Macaca mulatta: one gene and its partners. The main gene of each other region encodes a partner of the protein of the gene in region 2 in a complex. Links are inferred from orthologs where the notes say so. Each region holds a gene or a part of one and is shown on either strand. Other genes may lie near its edges.

What was found.
Region 1: TAF7 (region 2) and TAF8 share a complex: the UniProt entries of both Homo sapiens proteins name them as parts of the TFIID basal transcription factor complex. The link is inferred for Macaca mulatta from reciprocal best matches to the Homo sapiens genes TAF7 and TAF8.
Region 3: TAF7 (region 2) and TAF4 share a complex: the UniProt entries of both Homo sapiens proteins name them as parts of the TFIID basal transcription factor complex. The link is inferred for Macaca mulatta from reciprocal best matches to the Homo sapiens genes TAF7 and TAF4.
Region 4: TAF7 (region 2) and TAF12 share a complex: the UniProt entries of both Homo sapiens proteins name them as parts of the TFIID basal transcription factor complex. The link is inferred for Macaca mulatta from reciprocal best matches to the Homo sapiens genes TAF7 and TAF12.

What each region holds. Positions count from the first base shown.
Region 1 is NC_133409.1:140,103,198-140,111,003, forward strand, and holds part of TAF8 (transcription initiation factor TFIID subunit 8), read right to left. Parts: intron 7,475-7,806; coding exon 7,318-7,474; intron 2,966-7,317; coding exon 2,867-2,965; intron 2,543-2,866; coding exon 2,480-2,542; intron 1,106-2,479; coding exon 981-1,105; intron 1-980. UniProt on the Homo sapiens protein: The TFIID basal transcription factor complex plays a major role in the initiation of RNA polymerase II (Pol II)-dependent transcription.
Region 2 is NC_133411.1:150,151,081-150,159,427, forward strand, and holds TAF7 (transcription initiation factor TFIID subunit 7), read right to left. Parts: upstream 4,646-8,347; 5' UTR 3,914-4,645; coding exon 2,864-3,913; 3' UTR 2,354-2,863; downstream 1-2,353. UniProt on the Homo sapiens protein: The TFIID basal transcription factor complex plays a major role in the initiation of RNA polymerase II (Pol II)-dependent transcription.
Region 3 is NC_133415.1:114,804,594-114,812,399, forward strand, and holds part of TAF4 (transcription initiation factor TFIID subunit 4), read right to left. Parts: intron 7,693-7,806; coding exon 7,573-7,692; intron 4,933-7,572; coding exon 4,813-4,932; intron 3,475-4,812; coding exon 3,352-3,474; intron 1,936-3,351; coding exon 1,846-1,935; intron 993-1,845; coding exon 744-992; intron 1-743. UniProt on the Homo sapiens protein: The TFIID basal transcription factor complex plays a major role in the initiation of RNA polymerase II (Pol II)-dependent transcription.
Region 4 is NC_133406.1:212,283,783-212,291,588, reverse strand, and holds part of TAF12 (transcription initiation factor TFIID subunit 12), read right to left. Parts: intron 7,114-7,806; coding exon 7,036-7,113; intron 1,827-7,035; coding exon 1,712-1,826; intron 1-1,711. UniProt on the Homo sapiens protein: The TFIID basal transcription factor complex plays a major role in the initiation of RNA polymerase II (Pol II)-dependent transcription.

The DNA of each region.
Region 1 (7,806 bases), on a different chromosome or scaffold from region 2:
GCAAATTAGAACACATTCAAACCACAGAGGATAACTCATCTTCTTCTTGTTCAGACCTAGAGCTCAGAGTGATAAGTTCCATTTCATTATCATTACTAATTTTTATTTATTTTTGAGACAGAGTCTTGCTCTGTTGCCTAGGCTGGAGTGCAGTGGTGCAATCTCAGCTCACTGCAACTTCTGCCTTCCAGGTTTAATTCTCCTGCCTCAGCCTCCTGAGTAGCTGGAACTACAGGTATATGCTACCACGCACAGCTAATTTTTGTAATTTTAGTGGAGACGGGGTTTCACTGTGTTGGCTAGGCTGGTCTCGAATTCCTGACCTGAGGTGATCCATCTGCCTCGACCTTCCAAAGTGTTGGGATTAAAGGCATGAGCCACTGCTCCTGGCCGTTACTAAATATTTTTAAAGTAACTTTTCCCCCAATTGAAAAAATAATTTTCCTATTATGGAAAATTTGGAAAACTCAGAAAAGTAAACACAAAACAAAATTACCTAAAATCTCAACTAAAAATTACTATGAACATTTAGTGGAATACCTTTTCAGTCTTGTTCCTATGTGGCTATGTACTTTTGTGTTTCAGTAGGACAGAAAATACTGGGGTCAGCTTCAATTTCTTTGTTAATTACACTTTAGCTGGTAAACTTGAGAACATAATTCTCATTTGCCAATTGTTTCTCAATGAGGAAAGATAATCTGAATTCTTTTTTTCTTTCTTTCTTTATTTTTCAAATGAGACAGGGTCTTGCTCTGCTGCCCAGGTTGGTCTTGAACTGCTGGGCTCAAGTGATCTTCCTGCCTCGGCCTCCTAAAATACTGGGATTACAGGTGTGAGCCCAACGTGCCTGGCCACATTCTGAGTTTTGAACCACCCTTTCATCAACAAACTTTTGGACTGGACACTGCCGCATGACAGTCGGTAGAAACTGACTCTGTGCTTTACACCACACACAGCCCCAGTGTGGCTTCAACACTCACCGGAGTTTTGATGTAGGTGTGGGGATCAGGGAACTCAGGAAAATGGCTGGGGATGTGCGGCGGGTGGGGTCGGTTCTGCCCTGCAGTAAGAGCCTTGGGGGTCACTGGCTGATTGGTCACCGGAGCTGCAACAGAGTCACAATTGATTACCCCTCCACCCAAGACCCTGATTTCTACAGATTATGGTCTCTCCCCAAAGCTTCATTTTCTCAAAAAAATGCCAGACCTCAATTTTCTAAACAAGTTGCATTTTGTATTTCAATCCATAAACAGTCTTTGATGGCATACAATGCCCAGCCCTGCTGGCTAATCTTGGTTGACATTCCCTTTGACAACAATCTGCCCACAAGCCTCTTAGGTAGAGGTGGATGGCTATGGCCACAGTAACTATGTAAAACAGCATGCTGAGGAGCTACGCAAGTTACATGGGCTGCTGGTTCTCTTTTCACAGACCTTGGATAACAAAAAGGAACAATGAGCTGGGGACAGTAAGTGTGAGCTTAATGATAACAAGAGGGGATTGAAAATGGCACCTTCCACTGCTATATGTTGAGAGGGAGTTTTTTAAAAAAATACCAACATGAAAAAAGTGACTTTAAAGAAAAAATCCAGGCCGGGTGCGGTGGCTCACGCCTGTAATCCCAGCACTTTGGGAGACTGAGGTGGGCGGATCACTCGCGGTCAGGAGATCAAGACCAGCCTGTCCAACATGGTAAAACCCTGCCTCTACTAAAAATGTAAAAGTTAGCCGGGTGTGGTGGCGGGCACCTGTAATCCCAGCTACTTGGGAGGCTGAGGCAGAATAGCTTGAACCTGGGAGACAGAGGTTGCAGTAGTCAGCCGAGATTGTGCCACTGCACTCCAGTCTGGGCAGCAAAGCGAGACTCCATCTCAAAAAAAAAAAGAAAAGAAAAAAATCCAGTTAATTCTCTCCAGGTCCTACAAGCCCAAACTGGTTACTCGCCACTCAGCTTATGGCACCCAGTTTTACTTAAAGTAGAGGTCATCAAACTTTGTGTAAAGGGCCATATAATAAATACTTTACATTCTGCATGTGGTACAGTCTCTACCACAACTAAACTATGCTAATATAGCATGAAAACAGCCACAGATAATAAGTAAATATGGGTGCATTCTGATAAGACTTTATTTACAAAAACAGGAGGCAGGCTGCGTTTGGCCCATAGTCCACAATGTACCAACCCTTAATCTAAGGAGAACAAGAACTTTCATTTTTCCAAGCAGCATCATTTGCCCTTCTGGGGCTAGAGCACAAGAAACACAGCAATATCTCAAAGGTGGTTTACCTTTTGGTGACTGAATTTCACATGCTAATCCCACTAGCCCAAATAAAGATTATATTGTAGGTAGCCCCAAACATTGGAAGAGAGCCTGCAACAAGGAAGTAGCTACTAATCCAATCCCTACCATAGTCAATTACTTCATTCCACAAGCATTAATTGATAAATTGCTAGGTACCTCAGTTCAAAGTCACTTACGAGCAGTGATGACCATCCTCTGAGACCGTTTTGCATAGGCAGGGAGAGTGTCCACATTGAAACCTAAGAGACAGGAAAACAAAAATCACTGCCCAGACCACTGGATATTGAATACAGAAAGAATAGTAGTATTATGGACAAATGGCTTAAACTCTCAACTCAATGACCTTGCAGCCACGCAAAAAGCAGCTCTGGCAGAATTCCCCAACAGGGAATTATGAGGCCTCTTAGATGTGTTCAGAGGAATCTCTCTTGATAACTCTCTCAAGCTCAAAGCAAATCAAGAGAACCATGAGGGAAACGAAGAACACTTAGCAGACATGCCTGACTCCTAGGAACTTCTCTCTCCAGTTGCACGGAAGAACTGGAAACTGAAGGTATACTCACCCATCTCAACAAGTGTGACCACGATATCTGACAGTGTGGGCTGGGTCCTGGCTGTGTGCTCACAGTAAGACTTGGCACTTCTCCCAATTTCTGAAATGTCTAAGAGGGGATTAAAGGCATAAAACTTATTCTCGGTTCCTCAGAAAGCTAAACATAGAATTACCAGATAAGCCAACAATTCCACTGCTAGGTATATACCCAAATGAATTGAAAGCAGGGATTCAAACAGCTACTAGTACACCAATGTTCACAGCAGCATGATTCACTATAGCCAAAAGGTAGAAACAACCCAATGTCCATTAACAGGTGAATGAACAAACAAAATGTGCTATATACACACAATGGAATATTATCCAGCCTTTAAAAGAAGGAAATTCTGGTAATGTTATAGCATAGATGAACTTTGAAAACATTATGCTAGGCCAGGTGTGGTGGCTCAGGCCTGTAATCCCAGCACTTTGGGAGGCCGAGGCGGGTGGATTACCTGAGGTCAGGAGTTTGAGACCAATCTGACCAACATGGCGAAACCCCATCTCTACTAAAAATACAAAAATTAGCCACGGGTGGTGGTAGGTGCCTGTAATCCTAGCCACTCGGGAGGCTGAGACATGAGAAATAGCTTGAACCCGGGAGGGGGAGGTGGCAGTGAGCAGAGATTGCGCCACTGCACTCCAGCCTGGGCGACAGAGCGAGAACTCCTTAAAAAAAAAAAGAAAAAAAGAAAAAGAAAAAAATAGAAAACATTATGCTAGGGCCAGGTGTGGTGGCTTATGCCTGTAATCCCAGCACTTGGGAGGCTGAGGCAGGTGGATCACTTGAGGTCAGGAGTTCGAGACCAGCCTGGCCAACATGGTAAAACCCCATCTCTACCAAAAATATAAAAAATTAGCCAGGTGAGGTGGCACACGCCTATAATCCCAGCTACTCAGGAGGCTGAGAATCGCTTGAACCTGGGAGGTAGAAGTGGTTGCAGTGAGCCGAGATTGCACCACTGCACTCCAGCCTGGGACACAGAGCGAGACTGCATCTCAAAAAAAAGAAAAGAAAAGAAAAGAAAAGAAAAGAAAAGAAAACATTATGTTAAGTGAAATAAGGCAGACACAAAAAGACAAATAAAGATTCTACTTACATGAGGTATCCAGAGATGGAAAGTAGATTAGAAGTTACCAGGGAATGGAGGGGGAGGGAGAATGAGGAATTACTGTTTATGTTTACAGAGTTTCTGTTGAGAATGATGAAAAAGTTCTGGAAATACTGTGAATGGTTGCACAACATTGTGAATATACTTAATACCACTGAATTGTACACTTAAAAATGGTTAAAATGATAAATTTGGTTATGTGTATCTCACCACCACACACACAAAACGGTCTTATTCTCTGATGGGCAATTTTTGTTTCTTCTGCCTGAAGCTGAACCTCTATTTAAGAGTCACACTAAAGTCCTTTGGGGAAAAGGGGGGGAAGGTTTCTAAGATGGAGTTTTGAAGCTCGGTTCTGTGAATGAGCTTCCAAGGCGGACGGGAGGTTTCACGAATACTCTGAAGCTGTGCTGAATTTTACACACAAAAAAAGCATTTTTTGGGGAATGGGTCCACAGATTTTATCAAATGTATAAAGGGGCCTCAAAAGGTAAAGAACTCCTGCTCTAGGGATAAAATGTTGGCTCAGATTTTAAGTGGCTCAGAAAATAAAAGCAAGTAGTGCTTGACAGGGAAGGGTGTCTAACAGGGGACCTACCACCAATTCCCCTGCTACCCTGAGCAAGTCACTTAACACCAGCCTCTATCCATGACTTTTAAACTCTAAATTCCAAGACTGTTCCAAGAACTGCATTCTTATCTCTTGGGAACTATTAATTCATTCCTTTAGGACAAAGTTCAAAAAGTAGTGGAACCTGTGGTAGGCCCCAAAATCTGTTCTAAAGTCCACACAGGTCAAAACTATTTTCATGATAAAATTAAGTCATTATTTGACTTTTTCACTCTCATTCTCTCAGGTAGTTTTCCTGAGTCTATGTGACTTTTGATGACATCATGGGTCTGATGAATAACAGAATATGTAATCGTACGTTCTTATTTTCGAAATTTCCTTTTTCTTCTTCTTTTTTTTTTTTTTTGAGATGGAGTTTCGCTCTTGTTGCCCAGGCTGGAGTACAATGGTGTGATCTTGGCTCAATGCAACCTCCACCTCCTGGGTTCAAGCAATTCTCCCGCCTCAGCCTCCAGAGTAGCTGGAATTACAGGTGCCCGCCACCACACCCAGCTAATTTTTTGTATTTTTAGTAGAGACAGGGTTTCACTATGTTGGCCAGGCTGGTCTCAAAACTCTTGACCTCAGGCGATACACCCACCTCAACCTCCCAAAGTGCTGGGATTACAGGCGTGAGCCACCACGCCCAGTCCCAAAATTTGTTTTTTCTAACGTGGCAAATACACATATACAAAAGCTATTTGGGGTCCTCAATGTTTATTAATAAAAAGAGATTCTGGCCAGGCGTAGTGGCTCAAGCCTGTAATCCCAGCACTTTGGGAGGCCGAGACAGGTGGATCACAAGGCCAGGAGATCGAGACCATCCTGGCTAACATGGTGAAACCCCGTCTCTACTAAAAAATACAAAAAAAACTAGCTGGGCGAGGTGGCGGGCGCCTGTAGTCCCAGCTACTCGGGAGGCTGAGGCAGGAGAATGGTGGGAACCCAGGAGGCGGAGCTTGCAGTGAGCTGAGATCCGGCCACTGCACTCCAGCCTGGGAGACAAAGCGACACTCCGTCTCAAAAAAAATAAAAATAAAAATAAAAAGGGATTCTGAGAGCTGGGCATGGTGGCACATGCCTGTAGTCCCAGCTATGTGGGAGGCTTAGGTCCAGAAGTTTGAGGCCAGCATTGGCAACACAGCGAGACCCCATCTCTAAATGAATAAATATAGGAGTTCTGAAGCCAAAATGATTCAGATCACTGCTTTAGGAAAACATTTGGTATTTAAAAGTGCCAAACATCAGCTGCAGAGAATTACTTTGCCCAAGATCACCCTTCTTGGGGTAGCCCACATCTAGTGTTTGATCAAGACCTGAGTATAAAGGCAGGGCCTTTTCAGCTTGATAGGCAATGATGCTCCAGGGTTCCTGGCTAAGTTGTCCAGTTCTTTGTTTGGCCTGCATTGCACTCCACTTCTCCCTCTGCCCAAACCTTTCTCCTACTTCCTTTCATAGTTGTTGATCCCTAAGAAACACCATAAATACTTCCAACCCTCATCCTATCCCATCCCCCGAAAGTTCAAAACAGGGAAATATGTTGTACATGCAGAAAAGCCTCTGTGAGACCACACCCGGGCTTCTAAATCTCAACACATTTCCTTTTAAAAGTGGCTTTTCAGCTGGGTGCGGTGGCTCACGCCTGTAATCCCAGCACATTGAGAGGTGGGCGGATCACCTGAGGTCAGCAGTTTGAGACCAGCCTGGCCAACACGGTGAAACCCTGTCTCTACTAAAAATACAAAAATTAGCCAGGAGTGGTAGTGCATGGCTATGATTCCAGCTACTTGAGAGGCTGTGGCAGGAGAATTGCTTGAACCCAGGAGGCGGAGGCTGTAGTGAGCTGAGATTGTGAAACTGCAGCACCCCAGCCTGGGCAACAGAGTGAAACTCTTTTGTCTCAAAAAAAAAAAAAAGTGGCTTTTCCCCTTCATTCTTTGTATCACACAATCTAGCATTTGATTACATAATGTGATGATATCTATTGCATGGGGAATTAGCCCTGACTCCCCAACAAAAGTCCTTAAGGGCACCCATAACTCACCAAGAGCTTATAATCTCCCCAGCACTGAATGTTTTATATATATATCTCACTTACATTTGCAACTCCATGAGGTACAAACTGTTATCTCATTTCACAAATGAGGAAATTGAGGTTCAGGAGATTCAGTGGCTTGCCCAAGCTATTAAGTGACAGAGTGATGATGTACACCCAAGTCTATCTGATTCTAAAGCCCGTAAGTCACTTCATTATGCTCTTTTCTGTTTTTGTTGTTGGGGACGGAGCCTCACAGGCTGGAGTGCAGTGGTAAGATCTCAGTTTACTGTAACCTCTGCCTCCCAGATTCAAGCAATTCTCCTGCCTCAGCCTCCCGAGTAGCTGGGATTACAGGCACCAGCCACCACGCCCAGCTAATTTTTTTTTGTATTTTTTAGTAGAGACGGGGTTTCGTCTTGAACTCCTGACTTCAGGTGATTCACCCACCTTGGCCTCCCAAAGTACTGGGATTACAGGCGTGAGCCACCGCGCTCAGCCCATTATGCTCTTTTCTCAACTTTTTACATTAAAAAAAATTTTTTTTCTCCCCTCTTAAGAAAAAAGTTTATCTTTTTCTTAAATCCTCTCAAACACTATCACAAAGCAGGGCACTGAACTGATGTTGGGGTTGACTCCAAGGACTAGTGTTTCTGTGTACTCACAGCTCTGCAGCATCTCTGTCAGCGTTTCCACGGATGCTTTCTCAGCACTCTCAAACCCTGCCTCTGTCAGCAAGGAGCTCACAACCACCTGCAGGGTTCTCCTCCGGGCCAGATGATAGTTATCGGCAGGGTTAGTGGACTGTTTACTTCCCGATCTCTGTGAAGCAGCAGCCCAGAAAGATTTTCATCCACAGGAGAAGGATGCAATCACATAGTTCATACGTGGTCAATGGCAAACAAAGTTCTTTTACTACTTTTATTTTAAAAATCAGTGCTTAATGTTTAGATTTACAGATCTTGGCCAACTGAGTAAAAATTGAGCACCCAAGGTGCTTTAAATACAGAGACTACTTTTCCGCCCACCTAAAAAGTACGGTCCCAATGAGATAAAATAGCAGGTCTTTTACTTTCTACTTTAGCAGATTATTAGAATACACAGCTGAAGAAACACGCATGATGGGATTAAGACCTGTCCCCCAGAAAAAATAG
Region 2 (8,347 bases):
AGAACTCATAACTGAAACAGGAATAGTGAGATCAATATACTATTTTGTTATTGTATCCAGAATCTTTCCTTTCTGTTATTGATGGAACTGCCAATATTGGTGAGATCTTGGTAAGAATAAACTACTTGATAAATGATCCAGTGTAAAGCCAGATATGGTGGGAGCTTTTCAGGTGTCAATCTTTTAAGTGTAGCAAAATACCTAGATTACCAAAACAGGAAATTTTGTCACCTAGCATCCTAAACTGTTTTTTTTGTTGTTGTTGTTTAATATATATTATTCGGAAACCTCAAGACAATACAAAACCTAGATATTGAGGGAAATCTTGCTTAAGCTTACATATTCTGTGTTAAAATCTTAGTCACGGCCAGGCACGGTGGCTCATGCCTGTAATCCCAGCACTTTCAGAGGCTGAGGCGGGTGGATCACAAGGTCAAGAGATCAAGGCCATCCTGGCCAACATGGTGAAACCCCATTTCTACTAAAAATACAAAAATTAGCTGGGCGTGGTAGCGCATGCCTGTAGTCCCAGCTACTCGGGAGGCTGAGGCAGGAGAATCGCTTGAACCTGGGAGGCAGAGGTTGCAGTGAGTCAAGATAATACCATTGTACTCCACAGCAAGAATCCATCTAAAAAAAAAAAAAAACAACAAACTTATAAAAACGTTTTCAGTTAAAAGATAAATTAGCTGACCAGGCGCGGTGGCTCATGCCTGTAATCCCACCACTCTGGGAGGCCGAGGCGGGCAGATCACGAGGTCAGGAGATCAAGACCATCCTGGCTAACGTAGTGAAAACCCCGTCTCTACTAAAAAACACAAAAAATTAGCTGGGCATAGTGGTGGACGCCTGTAGTCCCAGCTACTCAGGAGGCTCAGGCAGGAGAGTGGTGTGAACCCAGGAGGCGGAGCTTGCAGTGAGCCAAGATTGCACCACTGCACTCCAGCCTGGGCAACAGACCGAGACTCTATCTCAAAAAAAAAAAAAGATAAACTAGCCTTCTGAAGCCTGCAAATGTCAGCATATATAATTGTAGACCTGAGGACTAGGTAACTAATTTTTTTAAAAAAACATTTTAATATAGTTTCCTGTCGGATACAAGTAAAAGGGATTTTAGGCTGGGTGTGGTGGCTCAGGCCTGTAATCCCACCAATTCGGGAGGCCAAAGCGGGCGGATCACCTGAGGTCATGAGTTCAAGACCAGCCTGACCAACATGGTGAAACCCTGGGTCTACTGAAAATATAAAACTAGCCAGGTGTGGTGGCGCATGCCTGTAATTCCAGCTACTCAAGAGGCTGAGGCAGGAAAATGGCTTGAACCCAGGAGGCAGAGGTTGCAGTGAGCCAAGATCACACCATTGCACTCTAGCCTGGGCAACAAGAGCAAAACTTTGTCCTTAAAAAAAAAAAAAAAAAAAAAAGGCCGGGTGCGGTGGCTCACGCCTGTAATCCCAGCACTTTGAGAGGCCGAGGCAGGTGGATCATGAGTTCAGGAGAGTGAGATCATCCTGGCTAACACAGTGAAACCCCGTCTCTACTAAAAATACAAAAAAAATTAGCTGGGCGTGGTGGTGGGCACCTGTAGTCCCTACTCGGGAGGCTGAGGCAGGAGAATGGTGTGAACCCAGGAAGCGGAGCTTGCAGTGAGCTGAGATCGTGCCACTGCACTCCAGCCTGGGCGACAGAGCTAGACTCCATCTCAAAAAAAAAAAAAAAAAGGACTTTATTTTCAAACCCAAGCTTCTCATAAACCAACCTGTCAGAAACAAATTGCATACAACTCTGCCTCTTTTATCAGTAACTGATTTTTCAAAAATAGCTCATGTTGTGAGGCATTAAATTATCTTTAAAGCATGAGAAATTTGGTACCGACTTACTTTATGAGCAATTTTGATGAAATGACATTGATAAATGACCTCAGTTCTCAGATTATTAATTATAAGAACTCAACTGAAGAAAAATAGAAATAAAATCTTAATCCAAACCAATGGAATGATTCATTGGACTGCACTTGATAACCACTGCTTTGTTTCCAACATTTTGTGCAGGTAGATTTAGTAAGCTTTTTAAAAAAGGCACAAAGGCCTTCATCTACAAAAATTAGGGTAGTTTAAGAAAGCTCTGTATCTAATGTTTCCCAGCTTTCAAGTAGATCAGATAGAACTGGAATCTTAATATGATGCAAACATGACAATTCCCAATTTCTTTACCCCTGCTGTGTTGCTTTTTTTCATAAACCAAACTGCCTCTACCTGCAGAACTGGATCAAATTTCTTAGTCACTAAACTCCACCACGAAACCACCTCAAAAGGGACCTGACTCCCACCAACCATGAAAGAACAAGATACACTACAAAGTGAAAAACAGATGCTTTTATTTATTGTATTGTAAACAACTTAATAAAATTTGCATCTCTACATATGGGAAACTGCTTTGAGTAACTGGGAAAACAGCTATTGCATGGGAAAACATATGCAAACTAGCATCACTGTCTCTAGACTAGGTTCTTCTTATTGATCTCATGTCATCATAAGGCAGCAACAGCAGCTTCTAGAAAATGGAGAAACAGCAAAGTCCTGCAGTGGAGCTATAATTAAGGTTGAACCATACATTCCACTAATCCTGCAACTTTCCTACTATCATTTTTCTGCCTATACAATCCTGCTTCTTATAGGATGAACACCTAGCAAAACAATGTAAATTTGCTGAAAAACAAAACTATAAACAAATGAAAGAACTTAACAGAACACACAGCATTAGAGGGACTAGGAAGTGCAAGGTGTTAATATCCAGTACAAGTAATAAAGCCAAGAATTTTCTAATGCTGATCAGTCTGAACACTGAAATTAAGAATCAGTTCTTTTTACTTCTCTAGGAGTGATTCTAGCTCTTCTTGCAAAGAGCTGAGTTGCTCCTTTTCTCGGTCTTCCTTTTGTTTGAGCTCATCCAGTACAGCCTGAAATCTGTTCTTGAGAGCCAGATTTTCCACTTTCATGATGAGATCCTCTTGTCGTTTTGCCCTGTCCTGGGTCTCTTGGAGCTTGCCTTTCATGTTGTCAATCTGCTTCTGAATTCCCATAACCAGCTGATTGGTTCCCTCATTTTCCTGGTGCTGTTCATCTGATTCATTTAGCTTGTCCTGTAGTTGTCTCTCCAGATCTTCCTCAGTGTCAATGATGTTTATATCTTCTTCATCTTGATGCTGGGTCTCATCTTCATCCTCACTGCTGCTGCTGAGGTCATTGAATATCTCCCGAAGCTCATCATGTTCTAATGAGTCATGGCCCTGCCTGTGACCAGACATTCCTGGAGAAGAGATATCCAGGCCTTGATTTTCTGCCTCCTTTGTTTCATCTTCAGCAATTATTTCCCACCGAGTACTAACAGCTTCAGCATCTGTACTCAGCAATCGTTTCACTTCTTTTTCCACATCTGGAGATTCAATATATTTCTTCTTTGCTGTCTTCCGGAACCTTCTCTTCCTGACATTCTTCAGAGGCAGAGTAATTCCGTGGTTCCAGATAAACTTTTTCTCTTTGTCCTTATCCTTTTTCTTGCTTGCTTTAGGATCAGTGCTAGCAACTGGCTCCTCCACAGGTGGATAGAGATCACCATCAACTGTGGATACAAGCATCTGACAGATATCAGCTGTCTTGTAAAAGGTTTTCTTATCAATGGTTTTCAAGCTTTCCATAACACAGGGCAGGTCTACCAATTTTGAGGCCAATGGAACACGGTCCACTCTGACGATTCCATGACGCCCATCAGGATGTAACTCAATTGTCAGTCTGTCCTTGAGGTTGACATGACCAGACTGTACTGCTCTTCTCACAGTAGAGGCATATTCTGGAGGCAGACGTAAGATAAACTGGCTCTCCAGTTCGTGAGGAGCATCATCTTTGCTTTTACTCATTTTTATTTCTTTGTGACTCACTTCTCCAATAAATGATGGTTACCGTAAAAAGTTCCAGCTACTGCAATAGTTTAAAACACCAGTTCGCTATGAATTGAAATATTTTAATTACAAGAAGTTCTCTGTAGATCAGCAGCTTAGCGTCTATTTTGCCTTCGTTTTTATTTAAGCTCCAAGTCTTTTCTCTAAATATGCTGTGACCAAATACCAGTCGTTAACACAAAGGCTTATTCACAGACTTAAGTTCATTAAATCAGATGCAATGCCAAGTCCCAACCTCTAGGTGCCGCTGCCCGACAACGCGGAGACAGCTACCTAGCTAAGAAGCAGGAAAGCAAATGGCGGCTCCCGCGGAACGGTTTTCGGCCCAGAAAGGCCAGCAGAGATACTCTCAATTTACAAACTCTCCCGGAACAGACACTCAAAACATCAGGGCTCAGTGAGCTCTCTTCGCCTCGGGTACTTACAATCCAGTGACGATTATAAGTTCAGTTTCACCGGGCCGGAGCGAAGGGAAGAGGAGGCCGCAAGGAGCAAAGCGGGAGGCAGCCAAGCGTCTCCTTGTCGTTTCCTTAATTCTTCCTGCCGCTTGGCAGAGTGATCCACTATCGATTACTGATGAAAGCCCAGGATGGGCAACGCGAAATCTTGCCGAGAGGCGCAGCTCGGAGAACCAGACCCGGCACCTCGCCGGCCCTCCGTTCGACCGCTTGCCCAGAGAAAACGGAAGTGCTACGTCACGACGCGGGGCGGGAGGTGGATGTGAGTGACAGCCCCTCCGGCCGGAAGGGCGGAGCCCCGGCGCGCGCAGGCGCAATAGCGCAATTACGCTGCCCAGCGTGAAACTCGTCTTTTCGCGAGAACTTGCTTTTCTGGGATGAAAATGATAGTGTTTTCGAAGAGCTGTTGGTTTCAAACTATTTAGCGCTTGGAAGTTACAAGAAAGACACGGATTCGTCCCCCGCTAAGCCAGCACTTTTAAGGGATCGCTGTGGGGCCGGATGGCTTCTAGACTTCCGGGTGATTCCGGGAGATGGGGGACGCCTGGCAGTAAGCGTCTTTGCTTCTGGAAACATCTCGGATGCTTCCTAGGGTCTAGCCAATCTGGTGCCAATACAAGAATGTGTAGCTACTATACAATGGATTTTAAAGAACCCAAATCAGTGGAGTGAGGAGGACATGGAGCTCACTATATAATTCTAAACCTCTCTTTGTTTGTTTGTTTGTTTGTTTTGGAAATGGAGTCTAGGCTGTCACCCAGGCTTGAGTGTAGTGGCACAATATTGGCTCACTGCAATCTGCACCTCCAGGGTTCAAGCGATTCTCCTGCCTCAGCCTCTTGAGTAGCTGGGATTACAGGCACCTTCCACTACCCCAGCTAAGTTTGGTATTTTTAGTAGAGAAGGGGTTTCACCATGTTGGCCAGGCTGGTCTCCAACTCCTGACCTGAGGTGATTTGCCTGTCTTGGCCTCCCAAAGTACTGGGATTATAGGTGTGAGCCACCGTGCCTGGCCCAAAGTCTATATTTTGTTTAATATAATTCCCTGTAGGGGAATTGTGCCTCTGGGTTTCCTTCTGTTCTGTAATACTCCTGAGGAAACAAGGGTGATTCCTTTTTATATGCTTGATTTAGATGTAAATGTAAGCAGAGAAGGAAGTGTTCTTCTGCAAGCACAGGTTCATTTTGGACAGAATTGTCTGATAGACTGAGCATCTGGTTAAAGTAGACATAATTGAAGTATTGTTTCCTGCTTCTCATGTACAAGTAATTTTAAATACTTTGACTTTTTTTTTAACTCCACCTCTACTATTTTGCTGTTTTGTGCTTGTCTTTTCTTTGGAGGGTCAGGTATTCATCAACACATATTTTTAGTATTTTGACATAACTGGGTAACAGTTGGTACTTATTTCTATTTATTTCCATTTATTTTTAAAATATCTGGTAGAGCATCAAGGCCATTAACATTTAATTTCTATCCTCTAAAATATTACCAATTGCCCCTAAATTTAAGAGAATTCTCTTAAGATGTAATTAACATTTCCAAAATTCACTTTATTCCTGTATGATTGAAAGCTCCATGATAGTGATCTTTTTCTATCCTGGTCATTGTGTCCCAGTGCCTAGTACCAGAACATGGGAGATACACAAAAAATATTTGCTAATTGAATGAAAAAATTGATCTATCTAGAAAGATCATAGTCTTAAATGCTGTAGTGATTTGTGAGAGAAAATACATTCTTTGTCACTTTAAAATGAGATAGAGCCACTTTACATACATTTCCTCTCTAGTCAGGGACAATGCTAATTGTTATGAGGTGGGGAGGTTTGCTAATAGTGTGTGTGAATGTGGTTTAGCTAGAATGAGATACTGTCGTGGGAGGAAATTAAAATGACCTGAGGTTAGTTTGGTTCTTAATGTTAATTTTAAAAGAGAAAGTATGCCCTTCCAGATAACTGTAAATTATTTCTCTTTGCTTATAATGTGTTGAAGAATGTTAGCTGACTTACCTATACCTCTTTTTCAAAGATAAAGCTTTTTCTAGTACAGGCATGAGCCACCTCACCTGGCCATGTTTTATTTAGCCATATAAAATGTGAAGTAATTATACTTGAAAATAATCCAAATATTACTCAGCATCTTCCCTATGAGTTTTATGATGCTCAAATATTCTTATCATAGAAGTTAACTTGAAATAAATTGTATCCAATTTTTCATTTTCCAAAATTACTATATATTTTAGTTTCTAAACCTTTTTTTACATGGAATATTGCCAGACATAGTTAAAAGGATTAACTAAGGTTTTCTTAATGTATCTAACTCCTTCAGTCCTAAACTATATTTTCTGCTTTTGAGTTTAACACATTTTCTATATGCTGTTTTTAGGAGAGGAAATTATATTGACCCTAAATATTTTTTAAAATTGGGTTTATCAGTAAACATTAAGATAATCTGCTGGGTGCAGTGGCTCATGCCTGTAATCCCAGCACTTTGGGAGGCCAAGGCAGGTGGATTGCCTGAGGTCAGGAATTCAAGACCAGCCTCTCCAACATGGTGAAACCCCATCTCTACTAAAAATATTTTTAAAAATTAGCCAGGCTTGGCAGCAGGCACCTGTAATCCCAGCTACTCAGGAGACTGAGGCAGGAGAATTGCTTGAACCTGGGAAGCAAAGGTTGCAGTGAGCCAAGATTGTGCCATTGCACCCCAGCCTGGGCAACACTGGAGCAAAACTCCATCTCAAAAAAAAAAAAAAAAAAAAGATAATGTGATGTGGCAGACCTCTGCCTATCACTAAGGCCTAAGGCCTCTGCCACATCACATTATCTTAATGTCTACTGATAAATCCCCAGTTTTTTTTTTTTTAATTCCATTAGACATTCAGAAAAACTCTGAATTGATGAATTACACTCCTGTGGTTGTTCCATGGAATATCTGTGATAGTAGTGAACAAAAGATTTGGGGAGAGCAATAATTTCCCCGGTGTGGTAACAAGTCCTCCAAAGGCTTCCTGCCTGTCATTAAGGAGTGTGGCAATCAGGTTACTAATAATTGTGTATGTTTGAAAATTCCATTTAATACACTTTCTAGTTCCTTAAAGGGCTCCAAAGTATAAGCAGCCCTTTAATACACTTTTTAGTTCTTTAAAGGGCTGCTTGTACTTTGGAGGTTAAATTATGGGTGATGGGAGAAATCCTGCTTATATTTAGGAGGTAGAAAATTATAAGGGTGAGGAAATAGCAAATACCACAGAAAAGCCAACTTACATATTGCTATATCACCATATATTTTAAAGGTAAAAAGGCTAACTAAAAATATATAGCAGTTCCTGTATCTAGTAGGATGTTTTCTATAGGAAAAACATTAAAATCTAATTTACACTGGTTTAAACGGTAAGAAAATCTATGATCCCAAAAAACAGGTAGTCCAGCGCAGCTTTGTCCAATAGAAATATAATGTGGGCCACAGATGGTGAGCCATAGATGTGATTTTAGATTATCTGGTAGCCACATTCAAATAGCAAAAAGAAACAGGTGAAACTTCAATAATTTTAATCCAGTATATCTAAGATATAATTGCAACATATTTTTACAATAATGTAAATATATTAATAATACATTTTACATTCTTGTTTTGTACTAAATCTTCAACACCTAGTGTGTGTTTTGCACTTACAGCACATCTCAGTTTGGACTAGCTGCATTTCAAGTTCTCAGGGACCACATGTGGCTGGTTGTTACTCTAGTGGACAGGCAGGTCTAGAAGTTTCAGTGCCTCTAGGCCAGATACAATCATGGTATAGCACAAATTGTTTTTTCTTCCTAATTTTGAAGAATAAGCACTTATTTATACTTTTTCTATTATTGTTTCAGCTCTGCTTTCCTCTCCTTGTAGAATTCCAAAGGCTGCAGTCACAAGATACCAGCCAGCAGC
Region 3 (7,806 bases), on a different chromosome or scaffold from region 2:
ACTCCTCACCCAGCTGGTTCTGACGTGTGCACCATCAGAACACATACCGGCTCAAGATGAGGGAGCCCGCACCATTGTGTTTTTTAAACTGTCTTTAGAGGAAGAAAACCCCGCTGACATTTTTTTTTAAACTGCCCTTCTATGTTTGGTGAATCCCTCTGCCTGTGAAAGGGAATGTGCTCGAAATGTAACTCTTCTGGCGAAGACGTCCTTTCTCTAGCTCCAGAGCAAACGTCGTGACTACAAAACCAAGAAAGCCAGATCCACATTGCACATACGTGAACCGCTACGAGCAGCCGCAGCTTTGCCTCCCGGGACCCACCTAAATCCACCCTGCGCTGTGAGCTGCTACCGTCTCCAGTCTCCTGCCCACCTGTCCCACGCGGGTGCCCGTGTCTTACGCTTGGACCGCTGCTCCTAACCCAAGAGAACATCTATCTACAAGATCCTCTAAAAACACACTGCATTCGTTTACACCAGTAACATCCCTAGACAAGACAAGGCGGGGATGTGCCAGTGGTTCAAAGCCAATTCAACTATTTCATTTTACTGAGACAAAACACAAAATCCCAGGGCCTCAACCCTGATTTCTATTTTAACTAAGGTAATGCCTAAGCTTCCTCTAGCAGGAGCCTTCCTGCATGCTTGGAAAAGGTTTCTGAACCATGGCCAATTTATCTAAGAAGCTGGAGGGAGCAGAGGCACGGTGGGCTGTGTGGACCAGTAAGGTGCCCCTTCCATACCAGCGGTGTGGGTTGCCCCTGCTTGCCGACGCCGACCTGTGTGGGCTGCGTGAGGCTGAGCACAGGGGGCTGGAGGGCACTGGTCACGGTGGCCGCCGTCTTCCCGGCCGTGCGCTGGACTGAGCTACTCAGCACCACAGCCGTGAGCGCAGTGGTGGCCTGCGAGGCGGGCGGTGGCGGCTGCTGCTGGCTCTGCTGGATGAAGGCCGCGGAGTCGGGAGTCAGCTGTCTCAAGGCGGGTAAGCTCCTCTGGGTGGAAAGACAGACACGAGGGGTCAGGGGGTTGCTCATGCGTCAGTTTTCCTTGCTTAAAAATTCAGAAATATCAACTTTTACAGAAAATTTTTGAGTTAAATAAGACGGATGTTGGCCCTCACAGCAGCACGTCTGGATGTCAGGGGCCAGGACCCCATCCCGCCCTCCCACTAGGCGGGATTATTCCTGATAGCAAATGTCCAAAATGTGTTTAAGAAAACAAACAAAAAGAGCCATATTTTTAAAATAGTTTTTAAAATATTTTAACATCACGGGAAGAGAAGATTCTGAATGTTCCCAACACATGGAAATAAGTATTCAAAGTGATAGACCCCACATACCCTGATTCTATGAATGTAACAAAACATTACATGCACCTCATAAATATGTACAAATATATGTATTAAATTTTAAAATGTGCTCATACCAATGATTATCCAACAGACAGCCTGACACTCTTAAAACCCTTGGTCCTATCCAGTTTTGCAAACACTACCCCAATTCCCTGTTCCCCTCGGTTTCAGGAAGCACGCGCCCTTCTCACCGCCTTGCGCACAACAGAACCACAATTCCCTGTTCCCCTCGGTTTCAGGAAGCGCGCGCCCTTCTCACCACCTTGCGCACAACAGAACCACAAGGCCACAGTGTCAGGGGAGCTCCTGCTTTACAGAAAAACACCTAACATTCTGTCCCCAGGCACTGAGTCCCCGGCCCCACCCCCGCAGGGAGCACAGGCGCTGTGCACCCTCCGTGCCTGGAGCATCCTCACCCCTGTGCACTTGGAGCATCTGCGCCCCACCCCTCCCTGGCCCTGCTGCTTGTCAAGCACCCGGGCCTTCGAAATTACCTTCAGGAAAGGCACAAGGTAAGGTTGAGGTGAAGAATTAAGTTCTCGGTATAACCTGCTTGTGAAATCTTCTGCTTCGATTTTTCCATCCTTAAAAATAAAATCCATGTTGAAATTCTGGTGAATGAGATTCCACACACACTTCTGAATCCCGCATCACTCTGGTCTTGTATTTTACGGCTGATTCCGCCCCGAGTTTCACTGGACAGAGGAGATGGGAAAGTCTGCGTGCTACACCTTCCACAGATACACGTGTGACAGGCGCTCACCCTGGACACCGCAGTGCAGCCAGCTGCGGACCACGTCTCCTCCTGGGAGGGTCACCTGTCTACTTCTCGTCTTTTTCTAAGCCTCTTACTCAATGCCAGTCTTTACTCAGTGTTTACCAGGCACCTATTCGGTGTCAGGCATTTTGCTAGGAGGCAGATCAGCCTAAAAGTAACTCCATTATCAAAGCCAGCCCTGCAAGCACAGTGCTACAGGAGGTCACAGCGTGCCAGGGGCCACACAGACAGGATCCAGACAGTCAGGGCATCAGCACCTTCAGGAGCAGACAACAGCTGTGCTCACCCCTGCAAGCAGTCACGGTGCCCAGAGTCCAGTCAGATAAAAGGGAGCCCAGAGCAAGAGGGCCAGATCCTGTTTCAGAAACAGAGGCCAGCGTGGCATAAAGGTCGGGAAGACAGGCGACAAGGGTGGGAAGGCGGTGCCTGGACTGAACCCTGAGAGACTCAGGAAGACATGGTCAGGCGGGCAAGGAGAAGGCACAGAAAGACTGGCCACTCCAGATCCCCAGGCCATCCCACTGAGGCCAGCATACCCCTGAGCCATGAGACAGCCGTGGGGAGAGCCAAGGTGGAGAGCCAAGAGTTCGGCCATGAGTAGAGATGTAGAGCTTGGGACTGTGGGTTAAGGAGAGGGGAGGCCGCCAGGAATCCTCCCACGTTCTGGCCAGGAGACAGAGTGCTGTTCACTGCGACAGAGGTTTCGGAAGGGGTGGGGGCAGGGGTGGGGGGACGGCTCTGCCACTGGAGCACGAATGTGCCTCAGCTGGTCTGCTCCACGGGGAGGGGGCTTCTGCTGGCTCAGGGTGCGGAATGCCTGTTCCAGCAGGGATTGCGGACACCTGGGAATTTTACAAGAGGTCACACAGGAGTGGGGAGAGGACCAGAAGGGAGCTGCCAGGGACCCTGGCCAGAGTGCAGCATGGTGGGGGCAGCCAGAGGAGAAGAGAGCCACAGACAAGGGACACAGGCACCAGAAAATGGCAAAGCCCAGGAGACCACCAGGCACCAGCCCCAGAACACCCAGCCCCAGGAAGGAGTCTCCTCAGCTAGGCCACACACACCTCTGACAGGTGTGCACCCCCCCCTCTGCCTGCAGCCTTCCAGAGGAGTTCTCCCTTTGCTGGCACAGGCCTCCCAGGCACAAGTCACAGCAGCAATAGGTGTCTCTCCTATGCAACAGGCCTTAGGGAAAAGGGAATGTCAAGTCAAGGTTTCTCACCAGTAAATTCTGCACGAGCTCTTTCACATTAGCTGCTGTCTCTGTAGACTGCTTGCCAGATGAAGCCAGTTTTATTAACGTAGATAGGAAATTTTTACATTTCTTCACGTTTTCCATAGTTTCCTGGATTAAAGTAAAAAGACATAAGTGAAAAATCTTAAAAGGCAGATTTTTGTCACAGCCTTTGGTTAATAAAATATGCGTATGTATAAGAGATACATATATTTCTCCTCTAAACTTCAAGAAAACGCACCACCTCTTGGCCTGTGGATGGGAGTGGAACCCCGGGCCATGCTCTGAGGGGCGGCCCAGCCACATCAGTCACATGGCCACCGAAGTCAGCATCTCCCACAGTCCCGCAAGGCCACGTCTAGGAATGTAGCTATGCAAATAATGAAAAAAGTGAAAAGAGACTCTGCGAAGACGCCTGCTGCAATGTCGCTGACCATAAGGACAACCTATGCCAATCCAAATGGACACAGAAGGAAACAAATAGGAGGCAGACATGAAAGCAACGAAAAGTGCGCAGCAAAGAAACCCAAGAAGTTGCCAAGTGGGGCTCACTGTTCACAGACGTCCATCACCACAGGCCAACACTGCACGTGTACAAACGGGTGGTGCCGCCATTTTACAGACTGAACGCGACAGTCCAAACGGGTGGCGCCGCCATTTTACAGACTGAACGCGACAGTCCAAACGGGTGGCGCCGCCATTTTACAGACTGAACGCGACAGTCCAAACGGGTGGCGCCGCCATTTTACAGACTGAACGCGACAGTCCAAACGGGTGGCGCGGCCATTTTACAGACTGAACGCGACCGTCCAAACGGGTGGCGCCGCCATTTTACAGACTGAACGCGACCGTCCAAACGGGTGGCGCCGCCATTTTACAGACTGAACGCGACCGTCCAAACGGGTGGCGCGGCCATTTTACAGACTGAACGCGACCGTCCAAACGGGTGGCGCCGCCATTTTACAGACTGAACGCGACCGTCCAAACGGGTGGCGCCGCCATTTTACAGACTGAACGCGACCGTCCAAACGGGTGGCGCCGCCATTTTACAGACTGAACGCGACCGTCCAAACGGGTGGCGCCGCCATTTTACAGACTGAACGCGACCGTCCAAACGGGTGGTGCCGCCATTTTACAGACTGAATGCGACCGTCCAAACGGGTGGTGCCGCCATTTTACAGACTGAACGCGACCATACGCCAGTGACTTTTTCAAAGGCAGGTGTTTGGGCTTCTGCTGTTTGCAGACTTCTGCAGTCTGAGGCCCTCAGGGCCCACCTCAAGCAGCAGAGCCCCACACGCTCACGTGGGCCCCAGACTGTTCATCGCTTTGTGAAGCAGGCAGCGAGCAGTCTGGGACAGAAGCCGGCCCGAGGTCTCAAGGCTGCCTTTTCTGACCTGCGCCATGGGCCTGACCGTCTTTGAAGGCACAGAAAGGAGCGGCTCTTACCGTGGCAGCTGAGGAAGTGGCGGTTGCCCCTGGAACCGTGCGCTGAGGAGTCCCCGTCTGAACAGCCGTTGCCGTCCCAAGTGAAGCCGTCTGGGCAGCACCGCCCAGAACGAGCTGAGGCTACAAGAATCCAAAACACAAGGTAAGCGCATCTCATGCTACCAGCTAATGAGGGGAAGACCAGCCTCACACCCAGAAAAAGAAAACAAGCCTCCCTGTGGTGGCCAGGACGCCCAGGAAGCCAAGAGCCCTGGACACCTGCCAGTCAGCTGGACATGGGAGTGCTGCTGGGACGCCTGCCCTGTGCCCTGACGACCGCAGTCCTGAGCACCTGAGGAAGGCATGATTTGCACCTGCATCAAAAACAGATGTTCACAAAGCCAGGCACTGCAGAGACTCCAGTCCTCAGAAGTCCATGGAAAAAGGCACATAGTGACCAGAGTAAATAATCCTAACGGACAACCCAGATCCCCATCTCTCAGAAATCAAAACAACTGAAGAACGGCTCCTGAAAGCTCCATCCTCCCAGATGCAGAGGCTGGCTACAGGGCAGTCAGGCCTCCACAGCCACAGCCTCTCGCAGGGGAGGGTCCCCAGCTCCCTGCAATCACCCAAACCCACCTTTCTTTACTCCCCAAAAGTGAGTGTCAACAAGAAGCCTCCCACAAAGGGGAGTTTTCAGAGCAGATTCGAGCAATGAAGGATGATGGGTCATCAGTGTCAAAGTGTCAGAAAGGAGCGGCTGCTTTGCTAAGCAAATGAACAGCCAGACACCAAAAGGTAGCTCAGACAACTCGGTGGCCCGCACTCAATTCCTCACATTTCCATTCTACACGAATAATCAGAATGCAAATGTTTACTGATATTTTAAACCAGTACTTTTCCAATGTATAAATCTAGTCGTCAACATTCTCTTCTCTCCAACTTTTTAAACACTCCTTTGCAGCTTCTGAAAGCAGGGGGCAGTGTAAGCCTGAGAATGGCTCCAGAGCAGCGAGCGCAGCTCCCTCCCTGCGGCAAGGTGGGTGCAGCCCCGCCAGCACGCAGGAAGCAGCTCTGAACAACCCCACAACCCCGCTTCCAGAGGGGTGCGGAAGGGCTGTGAGGAGACAGCAGGGCAGACGGGCTGTTTCTAAGTCTGTGTATCTTTTCACTTGTAACAATAAGCATGGATTTTTTTTTAACTGAAAAACATCAAATAAAAACCTCCAGGGAAGAAAACGTAAAACGACACACCAAGCTGCTGTTTCCGGACCCCAGGAGTGCCCAGGACCTATCTCATCTTTTGGGAGTTTTCTTTCCCATCAGAACTGACTCCTCGCACTTACTTCTGCTCCTGTGAACACATATTTCACTCAGATGATATCCAGATCGTGTCTGCCACTAAGTATAATGCAAAAACTTAACCATAAGCTTCACTACCTTCTCAGAAAAGTCACTGTACCCAAAAATCCAGACGCACCAATCAGAGCACAGGACAGAGCAAGCTCCTCCAGGGAAAACACCGAGGGCAGGGCCCGCACCAAAGGCCAGCACACGTCTCCCTGGTACCGAACCGCCCTTCCACCCGCTTTCACCCACTGCAGCTGCAGCCAGCCGGGACAAGATCCCGTGAGGGTGGAAGAGCCGGGTGGGGGGAAGCTGCCCCTGAAGTCCACACCCCCGGGGCTCAGCCTCTGTTTCACCACTGAGCAATGGGAGCAGGGTCTGTAGCACTGAGGCAAGGACTCTGGATCCGTCAGCAGCGCGTCCAGGCCTGGTTCACGGCAGGAGCTTCACCGGCAGTGACCAACACCACAGAGACCTGCGCATCCACGGACGCTCACAGATACCAGACCAAGAAAAACCCCCGAACCACTTTTCTCCCAGCTGCTTCCTGCTGACTGCCCAGAGAAGGCTGCTTCCCTCACCAGGTGCGTCTGACCAGCCAGCCCCTTCCCCTCCACGCACCTCCGCTGCCCTCCAGAACAGCCCGGCTGCACACAAACCCTTCTGGGTTCTGCAGACCAAAGGCAGAGCTGTCAGGAGCATCAGCACCACTAGGAGAGGGGCTAGCACCTGCTCTGGGACACGCCCCCCTCCGCAGATGAAAACGCTGTTCTAGAAACCAGCGGCCACCTGGGTAGGTGCAGAACCCTTCTGGAACTATGCTCTCACTACGGAACGGGACGTGAGTGGCAGGTGGCAGCATGGCGTGGCAGGCACCCTGCAGGCGGCATGGCCAGGAGTGAGTCCCAGAACCTCCCTCGCCTCAGCATAAGCGCCGCATCACGAGATGAAAGAAGCGAGCTCATCTGCTTCCCAGGGTGCGGTGAAAATTACAGTCCATGTGCCTGCAACAGTGAGAACGACGCCTCGGCCACATTCATCTCAGCGACAGCTGCCATCCCCATGGTTACACACAAGGCCACATGTGCACACACACACTGTCCTCACCGCAGGCTGCTTCTGCTTCAGACATGCCTTATGATCAAGTATTAGTAAGCACATAGTTTTAAAGCTTCCAACATGGTGGAAAGCTTGAACAGTGTTGCTGGTGTTAAATTCTGTGTGACTAAAAAAAAAAAAAAAAGAGATCCTGACTTATCCCATGCTGGTGGTCAAAGAAACAGCACTTTCTTCAAGGAGAACCTTCCTCCCCAAATTTGACTTAGTATCCAGTTTAAAAAAAAAAAAACTCCTAAGGCCTGATCTTTGCATCAAAGAAATCAGGCTTCATGGCCCCTGCAGCCTCAGCAGATCCACCGCCCGCCCTCTCACCTGGACGCCGGGCGAGCGCTGCAGGGTTGCACTGGGCTGCACCGTTGTCTGGGCCTGAGACACTTGCTTAATTATGGTAGTTGGGGTCACCTGCCGTGCAATGATAGGTGTTCCAGGTGCCTGAAAAATAAGCAGAGTCACGTAAAACAAGCGCAAGTAAAAGGAATTCCCACCCCCAGGTACAAAGAAATTATCCCTTCCAAATGTAACTAGTATATCCGAGTGGGCCCCAGG
Region 4 (7,806 bases), on a different chromosome or scaffold from region 2:
GAAGAAAAGAAGAGACACAGAGACAGAGACACACAGGGAAAAGGCCATGTGAAGACTGAGGCAAAGCCTGGAGTTCTGTAGCTACAAGCCACGGAACACCAAGGATTGCCAGCCACCACCAGAGGCTAGGAGGAGGCAAGAATAGATTCTCCCCTAGGGGCAGCAATGGGAGCATGATCCTGCTGACACTTAGATTTCAGATTTCTGGCCTGCAGAACTGTGAGAGAAAATTTTTTGTTGTTTTAAGCTGCCAGGTTTATGGTATTTTGTTAAGGTAGCCCGAGGAAACTAGTATGCTTTCCTTCAAGACAATCTCAGGCCCAGCCACTGCCTGACTTAGTAAAACTAGCTGAGCCCAGTCAACCCCCAGATTCATGAATAAAATCAACAACTGTTATTGTGCTAAGCCACTGTTTTTGGGGTGGTCTGCTACACATTAATAGAAAACCAGAATATCTGTCCTTTTCTCTAGACACCAGCAACATTACCCAAAGTGTGTTACTTACTTTACCTAGACTACCAATGCATCCCTAAGGCAATAGCTTCTTGACGCTGTGAAGGAAGCCTTTCAATAATTAGTCATGGGCTGATCTGCACCGAATCTCATTCATTTGGCCTGTCTCTATAGTTATACATTGGGCTGGGCATGGTGGCTCACGACTGTAATCCCAGCACTTTGGGAGGCCAAGGCAGGTGGATCACCAGAGGCCAGGAGTTCGAGACCAGCCTGACCAACATGATGAAACCCCATTTCTACTGAAAATACAAAAATTAGCCAGGTGTGGTGGTGCAGGCCTATAGTCCCAGCTACTTAGGAGGCTGAGGCAGGAGAATCGCTTGAACCCAGGAGGTGGAGGTTGCCGAGATGGCGTCACTGCACTCTAACCTGGGTGACAGAGTGAGACTCGATCAAAAAATATATATATTTATTTATATATATATAGTATAATATATATAAAGTATATATAATATATAAAAATATATATTTATATAAATATATAAATTATATATACTATATATATACACCCACATAAATATATACATATATATACACACACACAGTTATAGACTGATCTTTCTTTTAATCACATTGTATCCAATGCAGAAGGCTGCTTATTAATTTCCAAGTGATTATGGTTATCACTGTTAGCTGAGTATTTCCCAGAAAAACTCAAACTCAAATTTAGTGTCTGTTAAGTAGAAAAGGAAAATATAAAATTGTATGTATATTATGATTATAAACTTGGGGAAAATGCATAAATAAGCTAAAACTGTAAGGGAACACTGAGGAACAGTTTCATTTGAATGGTGGAGACATAACAGTACCTACATTTACTAGATCCTACTTTGTGCAGGCCCTGTGCCAGTCACTTTACAGACATAGTCTATAATTCTCACAATTATTCTGTAAGGAGGATATTATGATCCTCACTTTACAAATGAGGAAACAGACTCTAAGAGATACTAGGTAGGAAAAATAGGCTGATACAGCTGGAAAGTGGCAGAATCTGGTTTCAAACCCATGCCTGGGCTCATTCTCCCTACCATAGATGGATTTCTCTTTTCTATTTGGTGCTGTTATTGAATTAATACATAAATCCCAGTGCCCAAAAGTCTGACTCTGGCATGAAGGTTCTTCTGACTGCACTTTCCCTGGCAGTCCTGAAGAAGCAGTTGAATATATACTTCAGGGAGAAACAAGACCACATACCTAAATGCAGCTGGACATCTTTCACCTCCAGGGTGCTGGACTTGCGATGCCGCGCAAGCTGACAGGCTGCTGTCACCACACTCTCGATAAAATCATCAGCAATCTGCAGCAGCATCTGGGGAAGGTAAAGTGGGGAGAGTCAGCACGACATTGGCAGGGTAGGCTCCTGTTGCTGGGACAAGTGCTTTCAGCTTGTATTGCGTATTTAGTCAGGCTTTCTAGTAGAAGGCTGGAATCAGCATTTGGGCTAAGGTGAGGAAGAGGAATGAGAAGGACAAAAGAAACATTACCCAGGTTGAGTGCAACTCATACCTTACTGAGCATATAATTTCTACCCAGCAGTAATCAACTAACCCAATCCCTGCCCTCCATATCTTTATTTATTAGTGAGAAAATAAAAGTGAATCATTTGAATTCCTCACTCACAGTATTTTAAAAGCACTTTTGTTTCCATTATCTCACTTAGTCCTTACAATAATCCTGTGAAGAAAATGGGACATGGATTTTATTCATTCCACAGAGGATTTCACAGACTCAGAGAGACTAATTTGTTCATGGCCATGTAAGTAGAAAGCAGAAGGCCAGGCGCAATGGCTCATGCCTGTAATCTCAGCACTTTGGGAGGCCGAGTTGGGAGGATCACTTGAGGTCAGAAGTTCGAGACCAGCCCAACAATATTACAAGAGCCCCATCTGTATTTTAAAATAAATAGGCTGGGTGCGGTGGCTCACGCCTGTAATCCCAGCACTTTGGGAGGCTGAGGCGGCCGAATCATGAGGTCAAGAGATTGAGACCATCCTGGCCAACATGGTGAAACCCTGTCTCTACTAAAAATACAAAAATTAGCTGGGTGTGGTGGCATGTGTCTGTAGTCCCAGCTACTTGGGAGGCTGGGGCAGGAGAATCACTTGAACCCGGGAGGTGGAGGTTGCAGTCAGCCGAGATCGTGCCACTGTACTCCAGCCTGATGACAGAGCAAGACTCTGTCTCAAAAAATAATAATAATAATTTAAAAAATAATAACAAATAAATAGAGGCCAGGCATGGTGGCTCACACCTGTAATCCCAGAACTTTGGGAGGCTGAGGTGGGCAGATCATTTGAGGTCAGGAGCTCGAGACCAGCCTGACCAACATATTGAAACCCAGTCTCGCCGGGCGCGGTGGCTCACGCCTGTAATCCCAGCACTTTGGGAGGCCGAGGCGGGCGGATCACAAGGTCAGGAGATCGAGACCACGGTGAAACCCTGTCTCTACTAAAAATACAAAAAATTAGCCGGGCGCGGTTGTGGGCGCCTGTAGTCCCAGCTACTCAGGAGGCTGAGGCAGGAGAATGGCGTGAACCCGGGAGGCGGAGCTTGCAGTGAGCCGAGATCGCGCCACTGCACTCCAGCCTGGGCGACAGAGCTAGACTCCGTCTCAAAAAAATAAAAATAAAAAATAAAAAAGAAACCCAGTCTCTAAGGGCCATGCACAGTGGCTCAAGACTCTGTCTCAAAAAATAATAATAATAATTTAAAAAATAATAACAAATAAATAGAGGCCAGGCATGGTGGCTCACACCTGTAATCCCAGCACTTTGGAAGACCGAGGCAGGTAGATCATCTGAGGTCAGGAGTTTGAGACCAGCCTGACCAACATGGTAAAACCCTGTCTCTACTAAAAATACAAAATTAGCTGCGCACGGTGGCGGGCATCTGTAATCCCAGCTACTCTGGAGGTTGAGGCAGGAGAATCGCTTAAACCCAGGGGGTGGAGGTTGCAGTGAGCCGAGATTGCACCACTGCACTCCAGCCTGGGCGACAGGGCAAGACTCTGTCTCAAAAAAAAAAAGAAAGAAAGAAAGCAGAGGAACCAGGATTCCAACTCAAGGGTTCTGAGTCTAAATCTTGAGTTCTTTCCACATCACTATCAATTATTATTGGACTGTGTGAAGAGAAGGATGAGAATTCTGAAGATAAAAATCTACATATCTACATGAGGCACTCCTATAATCCCAGCACTTTGGGAGGCCGAGGCATATGGTTTGCTTGAGCTCTGGAGTTTGAGACTAGCCTGGGCAACGTGCATGGCAAAACCCTGTCTCTACAAAAAATACAGAAATTAGCTGGGCTTGGTGGCATGCACTCGTAGTCCCAGCTACTAGGGAGGCTGAAGTGGGAGGCTTGCTTAAGTCCACTTAGTCGAGACTGCAGTGAGCTGTGATCATGGAACAGCACTCCAGCCTCGGTGATAGAGACCTCATCTCAAAAACAAACAAACAAATAAGTAAATAAATATGCACACACATGAAAAAACTGAGATTTTTATCAGTCCATAGAGTCCCCATGGCTTCCTCTGCTGACAAACAAAAACAAACTAAAATTACAACCATAGATACAAAATTCCTTGTTCTGGTGGACCATTAACTCATTGTCATCTTTACTGTGGGAACCAAATGCACACCATCTAAGAGAAAGATTTCTGATTAAACAGCAGATCAATTGACCTCCTGTCCCTCCCTAATCCCATTAATATGACAGTTAAAAAAAACATATTGCCAGGTGCAATGGCTCATGCCTGTAATCCCAGCCCTTTGGGAGGCCGAAGTGGGTGGATGACCCGAGGTCAGGAATTCGAGACCAGCTTGACCAATACGGTGAAACTCCATCTCTACTAAAATTACAAAAATTAGCTGGGTGTGATGGCGTGCACCTGTAGTCCCAGCTTCTCAGGAGACTGAGGCAAGAGAATAGCTTGAACCCGGGAGGCGGAGGTTGCAGTGAGCCAAGATCACGCTGCTGCACTCCAGCCTGGGCAACAGAGCAAGATTCCATCTCAAAAAAAAAAGAAACTAAGGGATAAACTCTCAAGATAGGAGACTGGAATTTTCTCTGGAGATATTGAATGATTCCAGAGAAAAGACTCACAGATACTGACATTTAGGGAACTTTCCATTAGGAAGGTTGACTTGTGGACAAATTACTCTGAAGTCAATCAAGTCTGTGGTCTGCTAGAGTGAACCAAGACCTGCTCATAAAAGCCAATTATGGGCCGGGCGCAGTGGCTCACGCCTGTAATCCCAGCACTTTGGGAGGCCGAGACAGGCGGATCACGAGGTCAGGAGATCGAGACCATCCCGGCTAACACGGTGAAACCCCGTCTCTACTAAAAATACAAAAACTAGCTGGGCGTGGTGGCGGGCGCCTGTAGTCCCAGCTACTCGGGAGGCTGAGGCAGGAGAATGGCGTGAAATGGGAGGCGGAGCTTGCAGTGAGCCGAGATCAAGACACTGCACTCCAGCCTGGGCAACAAAGCGAGACTCCATCTCAAAAAAAAAAAAAAGCCAATTATGTACCTCTTTTCCCAAGTTTGTATTTAGTGATGTCATGTTGGTAGAAATAGTTACATCACAGAAATAATAAAGTACTGCAAATTGGGCATTTTCCTCCAAAGAGCTGGTTGTTAAACATTTATCCATATATTACTGGGCCAAATTCATCAATTATGCTTCAAATCAGCTTTTCAGAGGGTGATTCTTTTTTTTTTTTGAGACAGGGTCTTGCTGGGTCGCCCAGGCTGGAGTGCAGTGGCACAATCTCAGCTTCCTGCAAGCTCCACCTCCTGGGTTCACAGCATTCTCCTGCCTCAGCCTCCCAAGTAGCTGGGACTATAAGCTCCCGCCACCATGCCTGGCTAATTTTTTGTATTTTTAGTAGAGACGGGGTTTCACTGTGTTTGCCAGGATAGTCTCGATCTCCTGACATTGTGATCTGCCCGCTTTGGCCTCCCAAAGTGCTGGCATTATAGGCTTGAGCCACTGCGCCTGCCCAGTGGGTGATTCTTTAAGAATGAATAGCCAGGGTCAGACATAGTGGCTCACACTTATAATCCCAGCACTTTGGAAGGCCGAGGCGGGTGGATCACTGGAGGTCAGAAGTTTGAGACCAGCCTGGCCAACATGGTAAAACCCTGTCTCTACTAAATATATGAAAATTAGTCAGGTATGGTGGTGTGCACCTGTAATCCCAGCTACTCGAGAGGCTGAGGTGGGAGAATCGCTTGAACCTGAGAGATGCAGTTTGCAGTGAGCCGATATTGCACCACTGCCCTCCAGCCTGGGTGGCTGAGCAAGACTCTGTCTCAAAAAAAAAAAAAAAAGAAAAACAGTAAGGAAAGTTATATGGGCCAGCAGGCATGATACCTCATGCCTGTAATCCCAGCACTTTGGGAGGCTGAGGTGGGTGAATCACCTGAGGTCAGGAGTCCGAGACCAGCCTGGCCAACATGGCAAAACCCCATCTCTACTAAAAATACAAAAATTAGCCAGGTGTGGTGGCACATGCCTATAATCCCAGCTACTTGGGAGGCTGAGGCAGGAGAATCACTTACTTGAATCCCTGGGAGGCAGAGGTTGCCGTAAGCTGAGATCGTGCTACTACACTCCAGCCTGGGCAACAGAGCAAGACTGTCTCAAAAAAATAAAAATAAAAATAAAAAAAGAAAGTTATATGGTACATATGTGAGTGGTGTAAAAAATTCTCATTTACCATAACTCACACCTGTAATCCCAGCACTTTGGGAGGCCAAGGCAGGTAGATAACCTGAGGTCAGGAGTTCGAAACCAGCCTGACCAATATGGAGAAACCCCATCTCTACTAAAAATACAAAAATTAGCCAGGTATGGTGGTGCATGCCTATAATCCCAGCAATTCAGGAGGCTGAGGCAGGAGAATCGCTTGAACCCGGGAGGTGGAGGTTGCGGTCAGCCAAGATTGCGCCACTGCACTCCAGCCTGGGCAACAAGAGTGAAACTCCATCTCAAAAAAAAAAAAGGATATTATAAAATTAATGGGTCAAAGAGTATCTCTTTAAGTATATTACTTAGAAATATAGAAGAATGTTACAGAAACAGCTAAAATTGTTGAAAGTGATTGCCTATGAGCAACAGACTATGCCTTTTTTAACAGGCAAAAGTAGCAGCAATTATTGGGTATAAAGCAAATGCAGATTTGTCTGTGCTCTTATTTTATTTTATTTATTTATTACAGTGGTGCAATCTTGGTTTACTGCCACCTCGGCCTTCTGGGTTTAAGAACACCTCAACCTCCCTAGTAGCTGGAACTACAGATGCACGCCACCACGGTGAGCTAATTTTTTAATGTTTTGCAGAGACAAGGTCTCATTATATGGCCTAGGCTGGTCTTGAACCTCCGGGCTCCAGCAATCCTCCTGCTTCGGCCTCTCAAAAGGCATGAGCCACTGCATCTGGCCTGTTTGTGCTCTTAACCACTATGCTATACCAGTTCTCAGGGACCAGTTTCTGGGGTACTCAACCCCACCTTACCTCCTCCACATCTTCATCCAACTGCTCATTAGGATCCACTTCTCTTACTAAGTCCTGTAATTTCTTCTTGGTCAATACCTAAAGTTAATTGGGAGAAGACTTTTCAACCAAGTATTAAGGAAACGAAACAAATCATTACCCTGTAATGAAGAAAGGCTGTCAAATGGTTGGTTTTAGTTTCCACTTTCCAATGAGTTCACAGTCTGGCCTACCTGACTATGCTGCTATAAGACAATACTCTCAAGACAAAAGTAACTTACGGAAAGCTGGAAAGAGCAGTTTGAAGACAGGCCAGCATCCAGCTGTCAGGCAGTATATTTCAGCCTCATGTCTTTTTCTCACTGTGCCTCTCTACATGAAGAAATTTGCAATTCTCTGACCACCACAAATTGTACCATGCCCCTTGCCTTTAGACAAGTGTTTTTTTTTTTTTTTTTTTTTTTTTTTGAGACAGGGTCTCCCTCTATTGCCCACTGGAGTACAGTGGCATGAACATGGCTCACTGCAGCCTTGACTGCCAAGCTCTCCCACCTAAGCTTCCCAGCTAGCTGGGACCATAGGCACGTGCCACCACACCCGGCTAATTTTTTTTTTTTTTACTTTTTATTGAGAGACAGGATCTCACTATGTTGTGCAGCCTGCTCTTGAACTCCTGGCCTCAAGTGATTCTTCCACCTCAGCCTCCCAAAGTGCTGTACATGCTCTTCCTCCCTTCTTCCTTCTTGCTCAGCTCATGGTGCCTCTTTCTGATGCTTTTCCTAGCCCATCTCA